3 linked regions of the Arabidopsis thaliana genome follow. The protein of the gene in region 3 interacts with the protein of the main gene of each other region in a pairwise test. Each region holds a gene or a part of one and is shown on either strand. Other genes may lie near its edges. The genes, in order: AT5G11090, AT1G01300 and RR10.

Evidence for each region.
Region 1: the proteins of RR10 (region 3) and AT5G11090 interact in a two-hybrid assay, tested with the Arabidopsis thaliana proteins (one large-scale study listed by BioGRID).
Region 2: the proteins of RR10 (region 3) and AT1G01300 interact in a two-hybrid assay, tested with the Arabidopsis thaliana proteins (one large-scale study listed by BioGRID).

What each region holds. Positions count from the first base shown.
Region 1 is NC_003076.8:3,521,069-3,527,913, forward strand, and holds AT5G11090 (serine-rich protein-like protein), read left to right. Parts: upstream 1-3,608; 5' UTR 3,609-3,727; coding exon 3,728-4,381; 3' UTR 4,382-4,778; downstream 4,779-6,845.
Region 2 is NC_003070.9:114,055-121,670, reverse strand, and holds AT1G01300 (Eukaryotic aspartyl protease family protein), read right to left. Parts: upstream 4,888-7,616; 5' UTR 4,607-4,887; coding exon 3,149-4,606; 3' UTR 2,826-3,148; downstream 1-2,825. Other genes in the region: AT1G01320 (Tetratricopeptide repeat (TPR)-like superfamily protein), read left to right, coding at 1-89; AT1G01310 (CAP (Cysteine-rich secretory proteins, Antigen 5, and Pathogenesis-related 1 protein) superfamily protein), read right to left, coding at 725-1,450; AT1G01305 (uncharacterized protein), read right to left, coding at 1,817-2,242; CNX3 (cofactor of nitrate reductase and xanthine dehydrogenase 3), read right to left, coding at 6,375-7,052, 7,238-7,372. UniProt on the Arabidopsis thaliana protein: Aspartyl protease. Not able to cleave BAG6.
Region 3 is NC_003075.7:15,443,553-15,451,354, forward strand, and holds RR10 (response regulator 10), read right to left. Parts: upstream 3,491-7,802; 5' UTR 3,215-3,490; coding exon 3,088-3,214; intron 2,632-3,087; coding exon 2,479-2,631; intron 2,375-2,478; coding exon 2,036-2,374; intron 1,956-2,035; coding exon 1,879-1,955; intron 1,785-1,878; coding exon 930-1,784; intron 846-929; coding exon 738-845; 3' UTR 501-737; downstream 1-500. Other genes in the region: BAT1 (HXXXD-type acyl-transferase family protein), read left to right, coding at 1-144; AT4G31930 (Mitochondrial glycoprotein family protein), read right to left, coding at 6,158-6,317, 6,463-6,791, 7,037-7,252. UniProt on the Arabidopsis thaliana protein: Transcriptional activator that binds specifically to the DNA sequence 5'-[AG]GATT-3'. Functions as a response regulator involved in His-to-Asp phosphorelay signal transduction system.

The sequences.
Region 1 (6,845 bases), on a different chromosome or scaffold from region 3:
GTTATACTTATTTCACTAAATAAAATGAAAGTAAAGCAGAAATATGAAGAAAAAAAAAGTAATAGTAAAAGAAAGTTCATCTATAAAGAACTGGTGAACTCTTTTTAGCTATATTCCTTGGTTTTTCTACGAGTAACACCATTTTAGTGTAACATGTGTTTAAGTCTGGAGTGGATGCATTCTCGGTGGATGTCATGTTTTTCGATCATATATATATATACACAATACTACAATAAGATGCAACGGGTTACCACTTACCAGTAGCTAAATCAATACTTGCATGAAGGTAAACGGTTAAAAGTTAAAGCTAAGATAACACTAAGAAATCACGATACTTCTTCAATTTTAAGATAGAAGAGTTAATATTGATATGATTGAATCCTTTACAACCAAAAAAAAAAAAAAAAAAAGAATACCATTTTTGGTAAATAAGGTTTTTAAGATCGTTAGTTTCTGGATTGTTTAGATAATACTAAGATTTTTATTTTTTTTTGTGCACCAGATAATACTAAGATATTCAAATGTCTCTTTTAGTGGATGGTTATTGATTAACCAAATATACAAACAGATGTCGAAATGAAGAAGAAAAAATGGCAAATCAGCATAATATCATAATTATTGAAATCTGTACATTATAATATTGGATGCTAGTACAACATCATTGCTACAACCACTTTAATAAAATGAAAATATCAGAGAGAGAAATAAAGCATCATATCCTTTGTAATATGATTCTCAAACTCGAGTCAAATTAAATATTCCTTACAATTTACTATTTACCAATTACTATACTCCATAGGCATCGAGCCCTCTCTATTCAGTTTTACATTCTCGAAGCACCTTTTTATATCGTGCATGAGATATCGGACATATAATGAAGAAGATTGTAACACGCTTTATACTCGCCAAAAAAGATATCAACTTAACAAATGCTGATAAAAATAGATACAGAAGATTACTCTTGATCTATTTTTTTGTGTGAAATTACTCTTATGATCTTATCGCCACTAGAGTAAAAGAGTTTCCTTGTAAAAAAAGATTTGGAACAAATATTTGTTTTCACCGAATAATTTTTTTATCGGATGTCCCCGAAGGGACTTTCACCAAATAAAGGTGAGTCCAGATGATTACTAGTGGACTTTTGGATTGTAATAAGAACGAATAATCACATGACCACGACCAGGCCATGACCATGACCATGTTAAATAAATCCAACTTCCACTCTAAATCCAGTGTCAGACATTGGATCACCAGTTAAACACTTTTGGCTCTTGGATTGTTATGATGCTAGTAGAAGCCTGGACACGTGTGACATAAATCTATACGTGTCGTAGTAATGTGGACGTGGTGGTGTGAGTGTTGTAGCCTATTGCTTTATCACATTGTGTGTCCCGACCATACAAAAATAACTGTTTTGTCCCTAACTTACCCAACACGACCTCCATGTGCCCCGCATCATTGTGATCTACTACTATTTTCAATTATATTTATTGCCTAGATTCGTCTAAATCAACTGTTTACAATCGTCGTACCCACCTAATCATATACTAATGTCTAATATTAGTTTTACTTTCTTTTAGTTTTTATCAGGTATAATACTATTTTAGTGGTATTAACGTTTGATAGGTGCTACTAAGAATTAATTACACACAAAATATGGATTCTGTCAAGACCAATTTAGACAAAATGTGAAACGAGTAGATCAGACCTTATTAATAATCTCAATCATAATTCTCTCTTAAATATTTAATCAAATTAGACAAAATATAGGTCGTTTCTGACCGTCAAACGTTTAATATCTGTAGAAACCGTGTTTAAAGGTTTAGTTGGTAAGAACTCTCTGAAATGTATCCATCAAATTCTTAAAATTGATATTCTGCACCAAAACTATTACTGGCAATAATCTGTCTAAGCATATTTTGTATTTTGCGGTTAAGGACGCATTGGAATAAGACATATATTATTACTATGGTTGAGTTCATCACCAAATTCCTTCTGCAGAGAAGCTGTTATACCTTTAAGATAGCATATAAATGTTCTAATACATCAGAATAGTGTTCGAGTCAGTAGTTCCATCAATTTGTAGGGACTCTTTAGGTCTAATATGAAACACAGTTGCATGGATCTCCTCCACCGTAACAACTTTATACCAAATGCTAGATTCGTTGTTGTTGTTACATTGCTTTTAAGCCCATTCAAGAGTTTGGCTAACTCACCAGTAGGTTTAAGGTGAAAAGTTGTTGAAATATGTTAAGTGTTACGTGTTGAGTAACTCTTGACTAATTATGATCATAATACGAAATTCTTAAAGTGTTACGAATTAACGATTGGCATTGCCTTCCAAAAAACTAGCTATATCAAGTCCTCTCTCTTTGGCCCTTTTTTATTTGGTAGTGAGCTGTTATTTCTTCTTCTAGCATTAAACCATCTTGAAAGGAAACAAACCAGCAAACGTAGGTACTTTTAATGATGGTGTCAGTTAGATCATAGATGTAACTTTATATGTTACCTTCATGTTATAAGATTTCTATATTGATGTTGTTGGGTATTAGCAACTAGTATTGATGAACCCAAAAAAAAAAAAAACTAATTTTGATATTTATTATAAAAAAATAATAATTAGTAATTAATATTTGATGTTAAGAGACTATATACGTAGACCAAAGGCATGTTTCAGACAAAAAAAAAACAAGAACAATAGAGTGCTAAATTTGATCAATGTAAGCTTTTAATATCTACTACAAAATCTAAAATTACTAAAAGTCATAAATCTTCAAATTGCTATTAAATTTATTTTATAAACCAAATTTAATTATTTAAAATATGTTTATAAAACTATTCAAAGTCTACCAAATAAATATGACACAAATCTTCAAATTGCTATTAAAATTATTTTATAAACCCAATATAAAGTCATATTTATTTGGTAGACTTTTGAATGGTTTGACATATGTGATTTTAGCTCACTAATTTATTAGTATTGAACTCTCTTACATTTATTAAAACTATTTTATGTTGGCAAAAATGTTTTACTCTAGAATACACTATACATAAGACTGATTTATTCGAAGCCTTCTTTAGATAGCCTAAATTTACACAAATGTTGTTAGATGCTAAACTTTTGTATAATCTTATTAATCTGAATCAATACCGTTACAGAACCATTGGGTTGTGACGATAAAACAAACAAAATAAAACCATTGGAAATGTAAATCCGGCTCTTGGCAAAACAACGGGCAATGGCAATTTACGTAATTATCTAAACTTTCTCTGGGTACTCTCCTACTTAAGAGCTGACATCTTTCTTAGTCATGACACGTGGCAGCTTTTTTAACTGCCCCCAAAAGCATTCCCTCTGATTTGTCATCTCAGCCGTTGGATCCGAACCCGATTCTTTTCGAAACGGCAAAACCGCCTCAAATTGAAAAACAAATTAGTAATTTATTTTGCTAACCATAGTTAAGTTTCATTAACCATGGTTAAATTTGACTAACCCGACATAGAAATACCTAAATTTCGAAAATGGTCAAAGTCTTTGAACGTATTTACATTTATTGCCATTGAACAAGCTTTTGCTATAAATTCGGTTCCTGAGACTCGCTAGGTTTGCCGAACCAACCTCCCTTAGGCACTTTCTACAGAGCAGCTAATCAAAAAAAAAAAAAAAAAACCTTGTTCTTCTCTTCTTCTTCCTCTCTCACAAATTTGACTTTCATAGAAGAAAAAAATGGTGACTACATCGTCACGAACCAAGTCAAACGGACCGGTGCTTCGTTCACAATCACCGTCAGGTCGATTTTGCGGTGGTTACTCAAGAGCCGTTCCGTCATCTTCTTCATCAGCTTTCGCTTCATCAACGAGTTCTAGCTTTTCATCTCCGTCGTCAGCTTTTTTCAGCAATCACCGTCATCACGAGAGCAATCACAGTCACCACCGATCTGCGTCACCGACTCGTGTGAATCTCTACACAGCGCAACCGATGTCTCAGTCGTTTCGTTACTCTCTCGATAGCAGATCTATATCTCCGACTAACAAATCGATCTCCGTTTCGAAGAATCAGCCACCGAGCCATAATCACAAGATCTCAAGGAGATGTATGTGTTCTCCGACGACGCATCCAGGATCTTTCAGATGCAGTCTACATAAGAACGTAGCGAATCCACATGGTCAAGGTACAGCTTCGTATACAACGAATGGATTGAATATGCGTCGATCTGCGATGACTAATTCGCTGGTGAGAATTGGTGGTGTTGAAGGAGAGTGGGTGAGAAGAGCTTTGACTACTTTGATTCGACCTTCTTCGCATCATCTGAAAAGACGAGCTGCTTATCAGCCACGTCCTAGTCGACTCTCAATCATGGCGAAAGCTGATGAGAATTGATTTTGATCTGGATTTTGGTTAATTCAGGTTTGTTTTGTTTGTTGTTCTTCTCTCTTTAAACGAAAACCACCACAGGATTTAGTAGATCCGGCGAAGAAGTCTTGTTATGAAGCTGAGGTCTGCGAAGAAGAATCATCCTCGAGAAATCGAGATTTTGTAAAAGGAAGAAACACACACCTATCATAATTTTTTTGTTGTTGGGTGAAAGAAGATGCTAGAATGCATTGTACATACGTTCTCTTTTTTACTGTTTTTGTTGCTCTCTCTTGCGTCTTTGTCGAACCCCAAAAAAAAAAAAATGTTCGGAGTCTCACCAAAAATTAGAGACCTAAAATCGAAAATCAAAGAACTGAATCTAATTTCTGTATTGAACAAAGTGAGATTTCTCATTCCTCACAATCAATTGTGTATGTGTTTGTCAGATTAGCGTTTTTTTTTTCGTGTCCCGTCAAGTCAACGTTCGTGTACTCCGTTGACCGGCGTTGTTTGCCATTATCCGTCGTCGTTTCTACCGTGAAGCGTTGCGTTAGTTTTCCAGGTATGCGTTATTCGTCGTGTCAGGTATGTTCCATTCGTTTTTTTTTTTTTTCCGTTTTATGTTACTTACATTTTTTTGTAGTTATATTTTCGTGGACATTTTGAATTTTGTTTTTGTTTTGCAGGTTGCGTTTGGTGATGGAGTTTGAACTACTTGACTAACAGGGACATGAAAATTCAGATGGAATTGAGAGAAAAACAAAATAAATTAGTAGAAAAATACATTAAAAACAAAAACAAAAGAGGTGGAAAAGGTCTTCACTTTCTGGACATATATAAAAAAACAACGAAAAATCTATGGAGGGAAAAACATGACTGAAGACAAAATTTACATAGGAGGGAAATGGAAAAAAAGTGTTTTGGTAAAAGAGATAGCTGACTGACCCAATTAGAAAAATGACTGAACATATGGAATATATTAGGGAGCAGATGGAAAAGAATACATATGAATATATTATTAATGGAATTGGGAATCTTTTGGATTCATGAAGGAGTAAAACTTGGAATGTTTGAAAGAAGAAAAGAGGAAGGCTATGAATGTGGAAAGACACGTCTTACTGATCTGGAAGATTTTGTTATATTCGATCATATTCCTCTGCGTCCATGATATACTTTTTAAAAATAATTTATAATTAATTCAAGAAATCTTCTTTGAATTTATTAAACAAAGTTTGATGTTTTAAGTTTAAAAAAATGAAACTCATCGAAAAGCTAAAACTGCGTAAACTTGACGATGAATGATGATGCCCCACATTGTAATATGTTGTACGTGGATTAGTTTAGGTTTATTTGTAGAATTTAAAAGGGTTTTCTATTGTCAGAACTTAGAAGAAGTCGGCTAGTGATGAATAGAATGTGTTGGCGACCACAAAGGTTGGACCGGACTTGTGATCTTTTCTGATTGACGTATCCCCTCGGGTTTGATCGGTTTAACTTCATTCCGCTTTGGTATGTTCCTACAACCAACTGATACTAACCGAGTGAAACACTATTGACTATAGTTTTGCAAACTGTTGTTTCTTCTTCTGTTTAGCGGCTCTCGAAAAGGGAAGAAGTGGAAAATGGCTCTTGTGACCAATAGTTTCCAATGTCATACTCATACAGTCATACATGTTTCGTTATGAGTCGTCTCCACCTCAAGTACTTGAAATTATTGTAAATTTAAGAATGGTAGTTGAAAAACTTAATGATTTTCCACCTATTCAATATCAGCATGACATCATTGGTCGACTAATATTTTTGTAAAAATTCTAGCAATAAATTGTACCTAAAGAATAAGAGGAATAAATGGTGAAATAGAGGGATCGTCCAATTTATAAAGAGGAAAAAGTGGAATGAAAGATGGGATACACGTCTTCCTTACCTGGAAGAGTATATGCCACCATCATATTGTTACATTATTGTTTTATTATATCACTTAGATATTTCTTTTATACCTTTTCATAGTTATGGTTCAATTCATAGTGATATCATATGAGGTCGGCGACTACTTGCCTAAAAGGAAAAATATTAAGAAGAGATATACATGGAATATTATATTCGCAATTATTATCACTATTTTTTGCAAAACGTAGAACAATGAATGTGTATCAAAAAAACAAAATTTACGCGTGAAGGCGGATTTAGGTGAGGTGGAAACCAAACTTGTTAAGATTTGAGAACAGAATAAAATCAGAATAAAGTAAGGAATCATCTTCCATAATTAAGGGAGATACTGTTTAAGAGGTGTTTAATTAAAGATTTCATCTCGTTAATTTAGAATCTTTCCATGAGTTTAAAATTTAACAGAAGGCTTGTACCATAATTAAATAGATTTGCAGAGATACGTAGCATAATTAGTATTAAGTAATACACCTATCTTGATGGCTGATTAATTTAGTTTTAATTATTCCTAAGCGTTACTTCTGACTTCAATCTCATGTTGGCC
Region 2 (7,616 bases), on a different chromosome or scaffold from region 3:
TGCTTAACCGGCCTTATGATTCTCAACCGTTCAAGCTTGGCTATAGCAGAGTTATCAGAGACAGCGAGGCTCCAAAGTCTGTAGCTTGAAACACTCTCCAAAGATTGAGCTAATTCGATGAAATGCAAACTCACACACACATCTCTGATATTTGCTGTTTCATAGGGACAATATAAAGGTTAGCTTCTCTAAACTCTTAAACTAAATCTTCAAAGACATGTATACACTTGTATTTATTTTAACTTGTTGATCTCTAATTGGCAGGTAGTTTCATTCACAGTCATGGGAAACTGAGGCTTGTGATAGCCTCGAAATGAAGTTACAATGTTTTGGATTTTGACCGGAAAGGTTGTGCAGAGGTGAGAAAAAGCCAAGCCATTCTTTTGTTTACCAAGTGAGGTGATATAACATTTTTCTGGGGTTTTTCTTTTAATTCAGCCAATAAAACGTAGGAAATTTTGGACATAATTTTTTCTTTTATGGTTCTTCATGTTTAAACATTAGTTTTCACGTAATTTACTTGCGTATTTCTCATCGATTACATCAATTCTAACGATTCACTATATAAAATGTCGAAATTATAAACTTGTTTAATGAATCAGTTATTAGATGATCGTTCCACTGAATAAAAACCCAAGGTTAAGTTTCATCCAAAAAAAGTTTGAGAGAAGAAAAAAAAATTAGTAACTAAAAGTGGATTGTGACACCGCCGTGTCCTCCACTCTCAAGCCATTCCTCCGATCACCGCCGGTGGATCATCCCGGGCAAGACCAATCTGATCATCATAACTTCCAAACGGATTTTCACCTTCGTAATTTCCCGGTGGGTTATAAACACAAATCGCATAAACGCCGCCGTTCGAACAATCCACACTTGCGCATCCGACCTTGGTACTATCTCTCCACACGATCTGCGTGTAGTGCCCACACATGTGTTGCGGCTCACACGTGTTACCTTTCACGTCGTAGAATTTATCCTCATCGGCCCACACATTAACAATATCTCTGGGGCTCCAGTTATTCTTTCCGGCCCAAAATATGTTTTCTCCATACGGCCCGTTAGAGTGAACAAGCCTACAATCACCCACGCGCTGATTCGCCCACGTGCGCGCGTACGCCGCTAATCTTCCGTCCCATTGAAACGGTGGTTCTCCCACGCGCGCTCTTACGAGGTTATGTGCGATTAAAAACTCTCTGCTCGCTCTGTTGACTCTGTTACGACGTCGTATTCTCCTCCACCTGAACCTGAACGAGAATCGGTTTCCGGTGAACGAAGGTGGTGACAACAGAAGCCGAGTACTCGTCGCTGACGGAGAGTTTTTAACGGAGGGTTTTGTGGAAGAGTCTTCATGGTTAATTTGGGCCGTTCCCGACCAAAGCTGAAGGAGGAAGAACGTTATGCCGACGAAGATATGTAATGGAGCTCGTATTTTCCGTTTACGAAGCTCCATTACAAAAAAACAAAACAAAGGATCAAGTTTAATCGGAGAGTTAATTACGTTAATTGTAGGTGAAAAGTGTAATTAACTCTAAAATGCAAAATTGTGAGTGGAAACTAATTAATAGAAAGTCAAATGCATGGTGAATATTGAAGATCGGAACACCATTCTAAATCAATTCAAGAATGTAGTAAACCCACCTACAATTAGGCAATACTTAAATTGTAAATCAAAACCAACCCAAATTATATTTGAATTATATGCTATACTCAAATTTAAACAACAACATAACAAGAACATGTAGCTCAAGTTTATCATTATTAATAATCGAAATAATAGCGAATCTGCATGTCTCAAAAAGAAGAAGAATAAAGAAAATTAAAGAGCACGTCTAGGCTTTCTCTTAATTTTCTGGTTAAAGTTCCAAACTTTCAAGAAATTGGGATAATGGTTCTTGATTAAATCAATAGGCTTCTTTAAAATGGACTCGATTGACACACCACTTGGTATATTCTCAATCTTCATGTACATAGGAGCTCTTGGATCATTAAGAGCTATACACCATTCACTGAACACATTCGTATTCAAAGACAGAAGCTTTCTCACACAAAATCCTCCTTTTAACGACAATCCCATCTCCACTGGTTTATAATTCCCAACCGCATTTCTTATTCCTCCGGCTATATTCCCGATGGAATCTCCGACTTTCTTCCACCATGGCTTCGCCTCCGTCTTCTCTCCGGCGGTCACCAAGAGGATGACTAGGAGGAAGATGGTCGGAGACACGCTTCTTGGCTTTCCCATGGTTTTTGATGAGGTTTTGTGTGTAGATTTATAAACTATTTTATTGAGGGTTATATAAAGTAATGGAAAATATAGGTGTGTTACGTTAAGATGTTATATTCATTAATGTTTTATACTTTCTAACATCTTTTCATTAAATTTCAAGTGTTGTTTTTCGTTACTTGTATATCCGCAAATGTTGAACTTGACAAGTGTTCTCAGTTTCTGCTAAGATATCTCATGTTTAGCCAACTATGCAAAACATAGTACAGGTTGAGTGAGAGGGTTTTAAACTCATAACGAATGAACTAAGTAACATATGAAGACTCTAAGCTCAAGTTAACACGTATTCAATGTAATTAGGTGATAAAGTAGATTATTAAACCAATAAAGTGCTTGAAAATAAACAAGGAAAAAAATGAAGTAATCAGTGCATGCAGGAGTATGTAATAGGAGCACTGTCTCTATCTTCGCGCTGAATCTTCGTTTTTGTCTGATTAACAACTCCAACACAATTTTTCATCTGCCCTATGTATTACGTAAACAGTAATTTACCAAAATCTATCTTAATTTATACTATTATAGACGTACTCTACCATCCTCAGATAATCAGATTTGTCTGACTTGGAAATTATATTGAATAATCTTTGATCTAACTAATTTCCGCAGTTGTCATTTGTTGGATAACTAAAAGTAAAATTGCCAATTTTTTAGAAAATCATACACGCTCTCTTTGGTCCGAGATGTAAAATAAAGACGATACTAATAATACAGCCGACAACACGTGAAGATTTTATCAACACGTATTCAACTCCACCGCTTAAAGATTCACTTGTCCGATTTATAAAAAAAAAAAAAACAAGTCTAAGCATTAAATTGAGAAAACAAAAGTACATTATCCGTACCGGCTCCGGTCAGATCTAATTATTAAGCGCATCCTCCTGGAGCAAACCCGACCCGGGAACTCGCTAAGTCGTATACAACCCGGAAACCCTGTTGCTGGATATTCCCAATTATGGATAGTCCGCCCATCGTACCGGCAAACGCAAAACAGAACTTGCCGTTGGTATCCACAGGGATCAGGTAATTCGTCGCCGGAAGTGATACGTCAGCTCCACGGAAATGTAAAACCACCGTCGGTACTTTAACCTCGTTCATATTGGAGAGATCGAAACACGTGTCGAAGAGTGAGAAATCCGGAGCTCTTTTCAATGTCTTAGCTCCGACCCGGAACGCGTCTCTCATAGCAATATAAGCTGGTCGGATCAACCGGGTCACAGACGTACCCGAATCGATAATAACTCCACCGTTACCGATCTGGTCAAGTTTAAAAAGAGAAGCCGTTACGCCGGGGACACGTGTCCCTCCGACGCTAATTCCCAGAAGCCCGACGTAGTAGAAAGTGTCGAGTTTTGGGTTTGACAAAAGTGGCGTGAATCTCGCGATTCGTGATACGGCGGCGTTTCCGAAGACGACCGAGGAAGGTTTCGAAGAAGCGGATCTGTCGACTAAACAGTAAGAGAATTTCTGATTAAACCGGTGACCGGTTTGACCGGGGAACGATAATTTACCTTTACCGAGTCCTAATAAACCGGCGGCTCCGACGAAGAGACCTTCGTTGTCGTGGCCACATCCGAGAGCAACGCCTTTAACGCGATTTCGCCGGAAAGTTAGCGTTTCGGTGGAGAAATCGCCGACGGTGAAAGAACCATCTCCGTAAGAGACTTGGTAGAGACAAGTCTTACGACGGGTGTTGCATCCGGCGGAGTCTAATCGGCGGCAGTGAGGTGAAGAACAGGGGATTGTGGCATAGGTCTTGGATTTTCTCGGGTCGAATATCGGGTCGGATTGAGAGTAGCATCTCCGACAAGGAGCGCATTGTAGCCAGACGATGTCGCTGCCGGTGTCGAGCACCATGTAAACATATCTCGCCGGAGTGCCGACACCGAGGCGCGTGAAGTATTCACCGCTTCCTTGAGAGAGACCAGAGACGACTGAGCTGCTGAATCCACCGGGTCGTGGCGCGTGAGTCACGTTTCTTCCGGGGATTTGAGCGGCGAGTGTGGCGATAGATTTCACGCGCCGGGAGTCACGTTGGAGACGGGAGCTGAATAGCTCGTCGGGTGTTTTGTTGGAGGAGAGAGCATCGATGTGGTCGAGGTTTAGAGTAATGGAAGAAGAAGACTCGGAGTCGGATCCGGATTCAAATTCGGATTCTAGCAGTGACTCGGAGTCGGAGTCGGGTTGGAATGAGACGGGAGAAGCACAAGGAAGGGAATGAGAATTGGGGAATAGGGTTTGGAAGGATGGAAGGGAAGAGAAGGAAGGAAGAGAGAGGAAGAAGAAACAGAGAGAAAAGAGTAAAGCTTTTCTTCTTCCTACCATCTTTTTTTTTCGTTTTCTCGAGGAAAGTGGCGAGTGAGACTGTTCTCTTCTCTGTGTATATAATAAACAAGTAAGCGGTCTTTTTGAAAATTTAATTTTCTTTCAATTCCTATAATAATAATAATAAATGTTTGAATTATACTTTTACTCTGGGAATACAAATATCTAATAAGATTGTGGGAATGCAAAAGCGACATTTTAGATTCGGTGGATAACAGACACTTAAGAAATATGCAAGTGGTGTGGTAGCTTCTTTTTCTTTCTTTTTTTACGTCATGAAATAATTTGCTTATTTTAACTATAATTATTTTGTGAAAAGTGAAAAGCTCGTTTTATATACTACTAGTAGTTAATTAATGATGCCCAATAATTTCCCCACAATTGGTGGCACATTTTCGCTCTTGAGATAACACAAACTGAAACATTCCACATGGGGGAAAATATACATGCAAATACATGACGAAAGATAATCTAATACACTACGTTGTTAAATAAGTACTTATTTTATTCATGTATACATTACAAACAATGCATCACGGTCTTCTTTTTACATTTTAAACCAAAAAAACGTTGCTACGACTTTTTTATCTTATTACTAAATCATCACGACGACCTTTAGATCTCACGATCTTGTTAGAATGTCGATATCATCAAACGCTCTTTTCATTTATTCGCCCACAAGAATTCGAAATAATGACCATCAAGATTTGGAACTTTCATATTCAATGCTTCGATATGTTAACATCTACTATAGTATATTACATCATAAAACATGAATAATTGAATATAGTGACCCTCTTCTTTATGGGGTACAAGTACTAAATTTTGTGATATTGGTATGTGTGACCACCAATTTAATGCTGTCACCAATCTCTCTCTTCCCACTGTTTAAAGAATGTGGACATAATAATTTGAATAAGTCTCAACACTAAATCATGACTTTTCAGTCTTCACAGTTGCAAGCATTCATTTTTTTTCTATCAAACACGTTCGCTTCATAAACACGTACCCAACTTTACAATTAAAGAAATCCGTACTTGACCGGTTGGTTCGTTGACAGGATCTTTTCTCAGCCGGTTTTACTGGTTCGGACAAGCCATAGTGCTACACGTAGTTCCAATTTGATTAATGATTAGTACATTGGTAAGAAATCAGACGGAGAGATCTCGAAATGGAGTATTTGATTAGAGGAGACAAGAAAGCAAAAGCTACAAGAAAGAATGAAAAAAAGAGACTTTGGCCAGTAGAGACAGCCTAGCACACTTTCTAGCTTTCTCTGCTTTAGTATATGTTTAGTGCTCACTCATCATTCCAAGGTCGTAACATGAACCATATGCATACAAAAAGATTCACAAATCGACATGATAACCTATATACCTATACATATAAACACTATGTTATCTGACCCTTTTAATAGTGTTGTGATGATCTAATTATAACAAGATTCAAGAGAGATGTTATGTGTGTTCTTACACATAACCCATTGCAAGAATAAATACTAAAAAGAACAAACTTGGTAGTTTCAATCCGCTCTTAAGCATCAATAGGTAATATTTCACCTTTGTTCTTAGAGAGTACCCAAACTAAAACAGCAGAAGCAACAAATTGTGAGCAAAACTATAGTGTCTTTCACAGTGCCTAATTGACTAATCGAGATTCAAAAGTTTCCATCTTTCCATATAAGAGATATCACCCAAGCATCCAAATAAGATAAAGAAAGCTAACCTTTATAGCAACAGAGGCAAATGTTGAATGTGTTCAGTCCCCTCTAGAGTCTAGACCAAGACCCGCTCTTTCCACCAGTTTTACGCTCGAGCCTCACGTCTGTAATACTGATATCTTTGGAAGCAGCCTTACACATATCGTAAACAGTCAAACCAGCAACTGATACAGCAGTCATAGCTTCCATCTCAACTCCGGTTTTTCCAGTGCAAGAAGCTTCTCCTTCAATGTCAACACTAAAATCCTCAGGGTTTAGTCGTAAGTCTACACGAACATGCGTAAGAGCAATGTTATGACACAATGGTATTAAGCTGCTGGTTTGTTTTGCTCCGTTGATCCCAGCTATTTTCGCCACTCCAAGAACATCTCCTTTCCCCATTTGATTCGCTAAGACCAAATCAAATACTCGTTTCCCAAGAATAACTTTACAACAGGCCAATGCAGTTCTCTTGGAATTGTCCTTAGAAGAAACATCCACCATTTGAGCTTCCCCTGCGATACCAACATGTGTTAGCTTAGACATATCACTAGCCACTTTTGCATATTGTTCTATAGCTTGCGAATCATTCTTGCTCGAGTGTGTAGATTTATGATACTCAATTTGTTGTCTAAAATCAATATTCTTCGATCTCAAAGGTTCGATTTTGGATGATTTCAACTCAGAGAAATCCATTGTCCCAGGACCATCGGGAGAAGGTTCTTGTCCAAAGATTGACTGCATCTCCTGAAACACCAATTCAAATGTTTTTGGTAGAATCAAGATCACTGATTTAACATCAATTTCTCTACTTTCTCAACGAACTCTTTTTAACCATTAATTAGATTGAATCTACTAAGAGCTACACAAAACCAAAACAACATGACGAGAAAAAGAAAAAACCAAAACAACAGACAGAGAGTGAGAAAAACCTGATTCAGCTCATTTATATTCATGATTTGGGGATCGAATTCATCGTCAATTCTACTGCTGAAAGCCCTTTTGATCGGAGAAACCACCGCCGGAAATCGACGGAGAAACACGGCGCGACGGAGCGTCGAAATCATTTTATTTCACCACAAGAGATCAAGAACAGAACCCAAGTATGTAGGGTTCTGCTAAACCGGTAAAAGAAAACTAACAAATCAATAACCGAAATTTGTCTTAGCCGGTCGAACCGAACTTTAAGAATTCTTAGGCCATCCACATTGCACAATTATATTGGATGTCTTCCCACGTAAGAAATTATTAAAAAAACTAAAATATAATTATTAAAATATGAGGTTGTCTTTAAATAGAAAATCTACTTCA
Region 3 (7,802 bases):
GATTACATGGCCCCACTGTGTCCACCGGTGCCACAAGTTGCTTATTTCATGAAGAACCCTAAAGATGCCAAAGGTGTTCTTGTGAGGATTGGCTTGGACCCACGAGATGTTAATGGCTTTTCAAATCATTTCCTTGATTGCTAATATATTAGCTGGTGATAATTAATTAATTAGTAGAATCTTTGTGGTAGTATACAGTATGATAATGGCTCCTCTATATGCATGCGTGTGCGCTAAAGACACTTTATTGTAATTGGGTTATGATGATGTATAATTTAATGACATCTCTCTGCTTTGTATTTGTTGTCGTTATCACTTTTATACTCATTTCGTGATAGGCTTTATTTTCTTCCAGAATTTCTGGATAAATAATTATAAAGTTATGTTTCTTTGTAGACTTTTTTCTTAAGGTCGCCAATGTTGGGTGGTTGACACCTAAGCCAGGTTATTGGGCATATGGGGCCGATTTAGGCTGGTAGTACAAATCATTGTACTACTTTGATTCTAACGTTATTTTGCACTTAGACACGAAGACTTTGACTTCCTCTTCAAAACACCTTTACATTTGTAGCAAAGAGGGTACTTTTTGAATTTTATTTATGGATTTGGATCTTCCTAAGTTGCTCAAACCAGTGGGGGAGCGGTAAACAATAGCTTACACTTTCATTACAGAGAAGAGAGAAGAGACAGAACCAAAAGATAATAATAATTGATTGTGTCTGAATAAAACAGGTTTCTCAAGCTGACAAAGAAAAGGGAAAATGGAGTTTCTCGTATGCATGTTCCGAGTGAGCTAAACCATCCAAATCCCAATCACCTTCCGAGAAATCAGATTGGCTCTGTTCCTGTTACAGTCAAAGTAACAAATCTTCAGAAATCTCCAAAAGAATAAGGTGCAAAAAGTAAATGGTTTTTATTGTATACAATACCTGTGTCATTAAGGAATTGACTATATCATCTAAGGAACCAGCATCAGAAGCCATCAAACCACTCTGAAGCTTCTGTTGTCCCATGAGTAAACCTTCGTTTGGATTGCTACTTCTAAACAGTTGAGCTTCTGTCACTGGACCTGAGTTGTTTGCAGGCTGCTGATTCATCTGTAATGGATAAAAGAAGTCTGTTTGTGCAGCATTTGTGGATCCAAAACCCGTGTTTCTGCAGAGAGATGCCGGATTTGTATCCAGGTTTGGGTTTACTAGCGGACTAGCTGAGTCGCAGAACGCATTCCATTCCAAGGTGTCAGGTTTTGAATGAACATCACTCTGTGGAATGTTGGTTGACAATGCAGCGTTTGACCAATGTTCTAGACGCTTGCTGATCTCGAAATGAGGAGAAAAACCCGGGTTTGAGGGTAAAGATGATGACTGCGGGTTACCCTCGAGAAGTAACAGATTACTGGGAGCTACCATTGGAGAGTTTTGTTGTGAAGTAAAGCTTGGAAAAGCCCTGTTGATGTTGTTGTTGATCTGAAGCTCTTCTAGCGGCAAACCCTGAAGTATGTTTCCTCCATCATTATGGTTACGAGGAAACGATGATGAGACTGGTTGGAACATTCCTGCTCCAAGGGAATTCAGACGACCAAGATTCCTATTTGAAGAGTAATGCCTCATCATTGTGGTTCCACCATGGAACTGACCGGATCCAACAGGTATTCCGCGGTGGTGGTGGTAGAAGCCACCAAGTCCTTTCTGAGAATTCATTTGCATAAAATGTGAGTCAATAGCCGCCCTGTTAGCTTGTTGAATGGCGTCATCAGACACCTTCTTCAGAGCAACGCGGAATTTCTGCAACCAAAAGACATTACAAATGTGTTTAATGGAATCATACATATATCAACACTAACAGATCAAATCTGAAGAATCATAGTCTAACTCTCACCTGAAGGTGGCTTGCAACATTCTCTCTAGTGAGTTTGTCAACATTCATCAGATCTAGAATCTTTTTTGGAACAGCTCCTGCATCATCAATACTTATAAATCAGAACATGATTCACAGCTAAATGAAAACTAGAGGTAGAGAGATCAAGAAACATTACTCTCAACGCCTAAATGATCAACAGCTGCTAGGAATTTATTGTGCAGCTCATGCGTCCAAAGAACACGAGGCTTCTTCTGCGCCGTTGGATCATCATTATCATTCCCTCTTTCTTCCTCTTCCTCCTCTTCATACTGTTCTTTACGTTTTCTGTTTGCTTTATCACAGTTTCCTGAACCATTACTCACATTGCTCTTATTCTTCTTAAGTTTGCTCTTTCTCACAACATGTTGCCATATGTTCTTAAGCTCCTCAATTCGAACCGGTTTAAGCAGATAATCACAGGCACCGTGCTTGACTCCTTTCATCACATACTTTGGATCGCTATGCGCAGATAACACTGCAAGAATTCAATCATCATGTTAAAGATTCAAACAGTCAAATCTGTCTAACGATCAAAACTTTCTCTAGGAACTATGAACTAGAACAAGGAGAGCTGCATACTTATGACAGGTAAGTCCATTTCAAGACCAACAAGCTCAAGCAGCTTGAAACCATCCATGTCTGGCATGTCGACATCGCTAATAACAAGATCAAACTTATTCTTGTTCTCCCTCAACAACTCCAATGCGGTCTGTGCCTGATTCGTTGTTGTAACTGCACATTACAATAATAATAATCACCCACAAAGTTTCAGTTTTGACTCATTCAAAAGTAGTAAAGCAAGAACCAATGGCTCTGTGACACATGGGGAGCAATCAAATATGTAATAATTCCCCAAAGTCTCAATTTTTACAGAACAAGAGACTGTTTCAAATCGAACGAACAAGAACCAATGACCTTTGAAACACAAGTGAAGCAACAAAATCTGAAGCATGGATTTTTAAAAGTAAAAAAATATGCAGAGAGTGAATCTAGCTAATATAGTCTTAATTGATTCTTCAAGCTCGTCTTCAAAAATATAAAAATCTAGAGAGGAATCGATTTATGGTGTTATGACAAGAAACGAATCTGATGTTAAATTTTGTAGCTTAACCAAATCCAAAATCTAGAAAACATCAAGAAATTTGGTATTAAAAAAAAACAAAGAGAGAGAGAGAGAAGGAACCAAACCGTGATATTGGCAGCGCTGAAGCAAAGTCTGGAGAATACGGAGACAAGTCTGGTCATCGTCAACAGCAAGAACTCTCATCCCAACCGGAAACTGGTCCAAGACTTCAATTTCTTGCTCCATAGTCATCGCCGTCAAAGATTATGAATTGAAGTAGAAGAACAAACAAAGTTCGGATTATTATTATTAGTAGAGAAAGAGACAAAAAGTTGTATGGCAGAGTAAAATTTTCTTCTTTGGCAAAAGAGAATCTAAGACTACATATGGTTTCTGAAAACTCTGTAATGATCTTCAAGACTGGCGAATTAACTCATTTATGGAATTCTCTTTTCAAATTTTAATCATTTCTGGTAAATTTTCTTTTTGACATAAGAAAAAAACAAAAAACATTTTCAGAGGAGAATCTCTGAGAAAATTCAGTGGAACCGATCGGTCATTTGAGCGTGATAATCACGCGCCACCTTTTTTAAATTAGTTTGGTTTCTTTTGACTGTGGGAATAATATTTTTTAGTTTAGTGATAATTAATTGAAAAGGAAAGAGGATCATAATATTTTTTTTTTTAAATGGATAAAAATGTGAAAGTGTTTATGTAAATGATTCTGCAGATCATGTAATTAATTTAGAGATATGTTTGTGATATTGTACCAAGTATTCAAGGCAGGAAAGAAGAATTTGAGTTATTACCATAACTTCAAAAAGAATTGAATACTTTCCTTAATCTGTGTCTTAAGGAATGGACAACTAAGTTGAGTATCTCATAAAACGGATTTACCATAAGAATTAGTGCAAATTATGGTATTATGATTTTAAAATATGTAAAAGAAAGAAAAAAAAAGACAGGCTTTAGTGAGAGCATGCATGGTGAAAGTTGGGAAGTGCGAGACACGCGTGACCGTGGTTCATGGCTTTTTCGCTTATCTCGTACAGGTTCTGAAAGATTTAGCAAAATTAAGTATCCCATAGTAACGACCAATAATGGCTAATGCCGATATTATTCAAACCTAAGACAAGACTATTTTTAACGTCAGAGAAAGACTTTTAAAATTGATGAAAAAAAAAAAAAAAAAAGACTTTTAAAATTTACACCATTACTTGGATAATTTTACACTCTTACCATATGAAATTAATTTTAGGAATATGTATAATCAAGAAACACATGTTACAATGGTTCACAATGTTTATAAAACTTTCAAGTCAACAAATTAAACTCATAGCACGATATTTATCACCGACCAAATGTATCGTACGCTCGAATTAAACTTTGAAGTCAACAAAGAAAACTGCTGTCACAAGTCTATTGTTACATGATATTAGTCATTGAATTTAGTTGTTAACTACAAATTATATATTATTTATTTATTTGATTGTCCGTTTAAATTTAGCAAAATACATTTATATAACTATGACAAGACAAAAAAAAGCCATAAAACAAAAGGCAAGAATTTCTTGAAGTTGGGTTCCATCCGCATCTTCAGCCTACAAGCTTGGTGGGTGCAAAATAAGATCCCAATGATTTTATTATAGTTTATGAATTAATTTTGTATGATTTCTTGGATTAACCACACAGCGTGTTCATTTCCGTGCCTCTCCTTTTCTTATAGAAAATAGCGTACTTCGGATCAATAATATGTTTTGGCTAGCTTATTAACATAAAAAAATAAAACATTATTACAATTATGCATCGTTTTTATTAATGTAAAATAGGTTATCAGTTAGTTTTGTTTTCCAAATTAGAATCATAAGGTTTAATAAAAGTATCACCAGCATAAGATTTACTAAAAAAAATGCAAGATCTAGAAAGAGATCCTAAATGACTTTTTGAATCTAGCCTAAGAACCTTCTACAAATCTACGATAATTTATTTAGTATATGAAGAAAATTAGAGAAAAGTTGTATTCTCATTGTCTTGTGACAAAGCCTTGATAAACCTAGAATAAAAGAATACAGAACTAGATTTTACGATTTTAAAAGAACATCAACATATGTTCGATGCAATGCATTGGAAAATAAAGGACAACTTTCTAATACAAATCATTATCATTAGCTCTTCCAATTTTATTTTATTTTGTGTGTGTGTATGTTAAATAGTTGCAGATGACATTAGAGAGATTAAAGAAATCAGTTTTCTAGAAGATCCATGTAAACATCAAATCTGTAAAGATTCTACTTCTTAATAAGTTATTGGAAGTCACTTGTCATTAGCTAATACCTACTGTCATTGGCTTATGGTCTCATATAGGATACACACATGTATATTAGTATATAGTATATATCTATTCACATTTAAATATGAGAAATTAACAGCAACACTTTGGTGTAATGTTTAATTTTAAGAAAAATAATTAAAGAGAAAGATGCTGATAAAAATAATAATAAAAAGAAAGAAAATAAGTAATAATAAAATGGAGGAGGAAAATCAAGATTAGCCAAAAATTGAGGTAATCTTGTCTCCCACAAGGGCTAACCACACCGGTCATAAAATATGCTTCTTGTTCGGTTGCTTCCTAATCACTTCCTACTCTATTACTCTTACTAGATTTTCCACATCTAAATAAAACTATGACATTTAAATGTCAACTCTAGAACGCCAGATAATAGCAGTTACTATTCCATATGGAGTAGTATATAGCAGTACTAATAAGTAATAACAATCATTTTCTTTTTCTTTCTTATTATTAAGTAATTATTAACTAACAGCTAGCTTTTCACGATGGATGATGATGTATATGATTAGTTCATCATGGCTCGTTTTAATTGATCGAACATTTTTTAATTGATGTATATGAAAGACTTTAATCTATTTTTCTTTCTTTGGCTCACACCAAAAGGGGTTAATTTTTTAATTAATAACCACACTAAAAGACACAGTTATTAAACATCCCGGTGGAGGGTTGGGCCCAAGTTCTATTGTTTATTACTCATCTAAGGCCCAATTGTACATTTTGTTTCAGATAAAAGTAACTAAAGCCAATATTACTACTTTTTTTTTTTGTCAATAAGCCAATATTACTACTTTTAACTGATAAAACAGTTTAATTAGAAGATGTGTAAACATCGAAATATTTCGTGTTTATTGTGAGATGAATGAATTTAGCTTTCTCAACCATTGAATGAGCTCAATCCTATCCTTATTCATCATATATTCATGCAAGAAAAAACAAAGCTCTGCGTCGATTCCTCTTACTCGTAAAAACTCCCGAATCGCTGTCTGAAAATCATACTTCAAATTCCTGCAAAGAAACAAAGATCACAAGGTTCAGTAGCTGAATTCAACTAGGCAATTTCCTTGACTGTATCAACAAATTCAAGACCAGTTAAATGCTACACTCTACATTTAAAGTGATTCAAGAAAGCAGAGAGATTAGTAGTAAGTACCCAAAATTAGGTCCCATGTAAGGCTGACCAGTGATTTTGTTGCGTCTAAGCTTGTAAAGCTTTCGAATTTCAATACGGTTAGGCCAGACGGAGCAAAGGAACTCGATCTCTTCACTTCCATCAACCTTGGAAATGTCAACAAGCAAGCTAATATGAAGACGGACATCGTGCCCTGAAGCATCTAAACCGGCTCTTGGAACATTCATAAACCCATCAAACATAGTTGCTTCCATTTTGATATCCTCATCTTCTCCAAACTTCCCTTTCATCACAATGCATTGCTCACCGGGACAATCCTCCACAGAGAACGATTTGAATTCAGTCGCTGGCTGCATTATAGTTTTAAGTGAAACAAAAACAAATCATCAGTATCTCTTCTCTTCCGATTTACTTGGATCTTGAACAAATAAAGTCTACTTCTTGATAAACAAATTGATTCAAATACAGTGATACTTGTCTCCCTCATCTATCTACTTCAACAGAACAACTGAATTACACAAATCCGAAATCTAGGACTAGCATAAACATTGATTCCAGCTGTCTAGATAGTGATTATAAACGAAATAGATGATACCTGATGCGGAGGAGCATAATCGGATTGATACTCGATCTCGTTTCTTATGATTCGAAGAATGTTGGACCGGAAGGGTGATTTAGCTGGCGATGTGGTGACGTCTCGTGATTGGTGATTTGGCAAGAGAGATTTGCATCGAACCCAAGAAATTAGGGTTCTTGAGGAATGAGAAGGAGAAATGCGTGATTTTTGAAGAGTACGGAGCAGAAGAGCCATCGATGTTCGTCGCCGACGTTTAGGGCTCTTCCGAGGTTTTCTCTGATTGGAAATTGAACTGAATCGAAATAGCAGAGCTCTTTGTGGGCTTTTTGGATGTCCAATAGTCCAATACAAATATTAATGGGCTTCCATGAATAAAACATTGTTTCTGAGTTTTTAAAGCCCAATTTTGCGTTTGTGTAAAAAGACAAATAGCCAATGAAAGTTGTTTAAGACCATGCATGAATCATGAATGTTGTCCATTTATTTCAACAAGAAACTATATTTTGAACATTAAAACAGTGGTGTTTAGATAGTAGTTGTCTCGGATGGGCTAGACAAGTTGTTTCGGCCGGGGTAAGGGTTAATCACTTCTTGAATTGGTTTGGTTTGGTTTGGTTCATGCATACAATACAACTAAGTTTCTTCTGATAAATAATAATTATTATTTCTGATCATTTTGATTAATAATGTTTTTTTATATACCGCATGAATGGTTTACTCCAAGCACGCAGGATTCCGAATCCAATCCGGCTTAGTTGTGTGTTATGTATTCATTGTACAATAG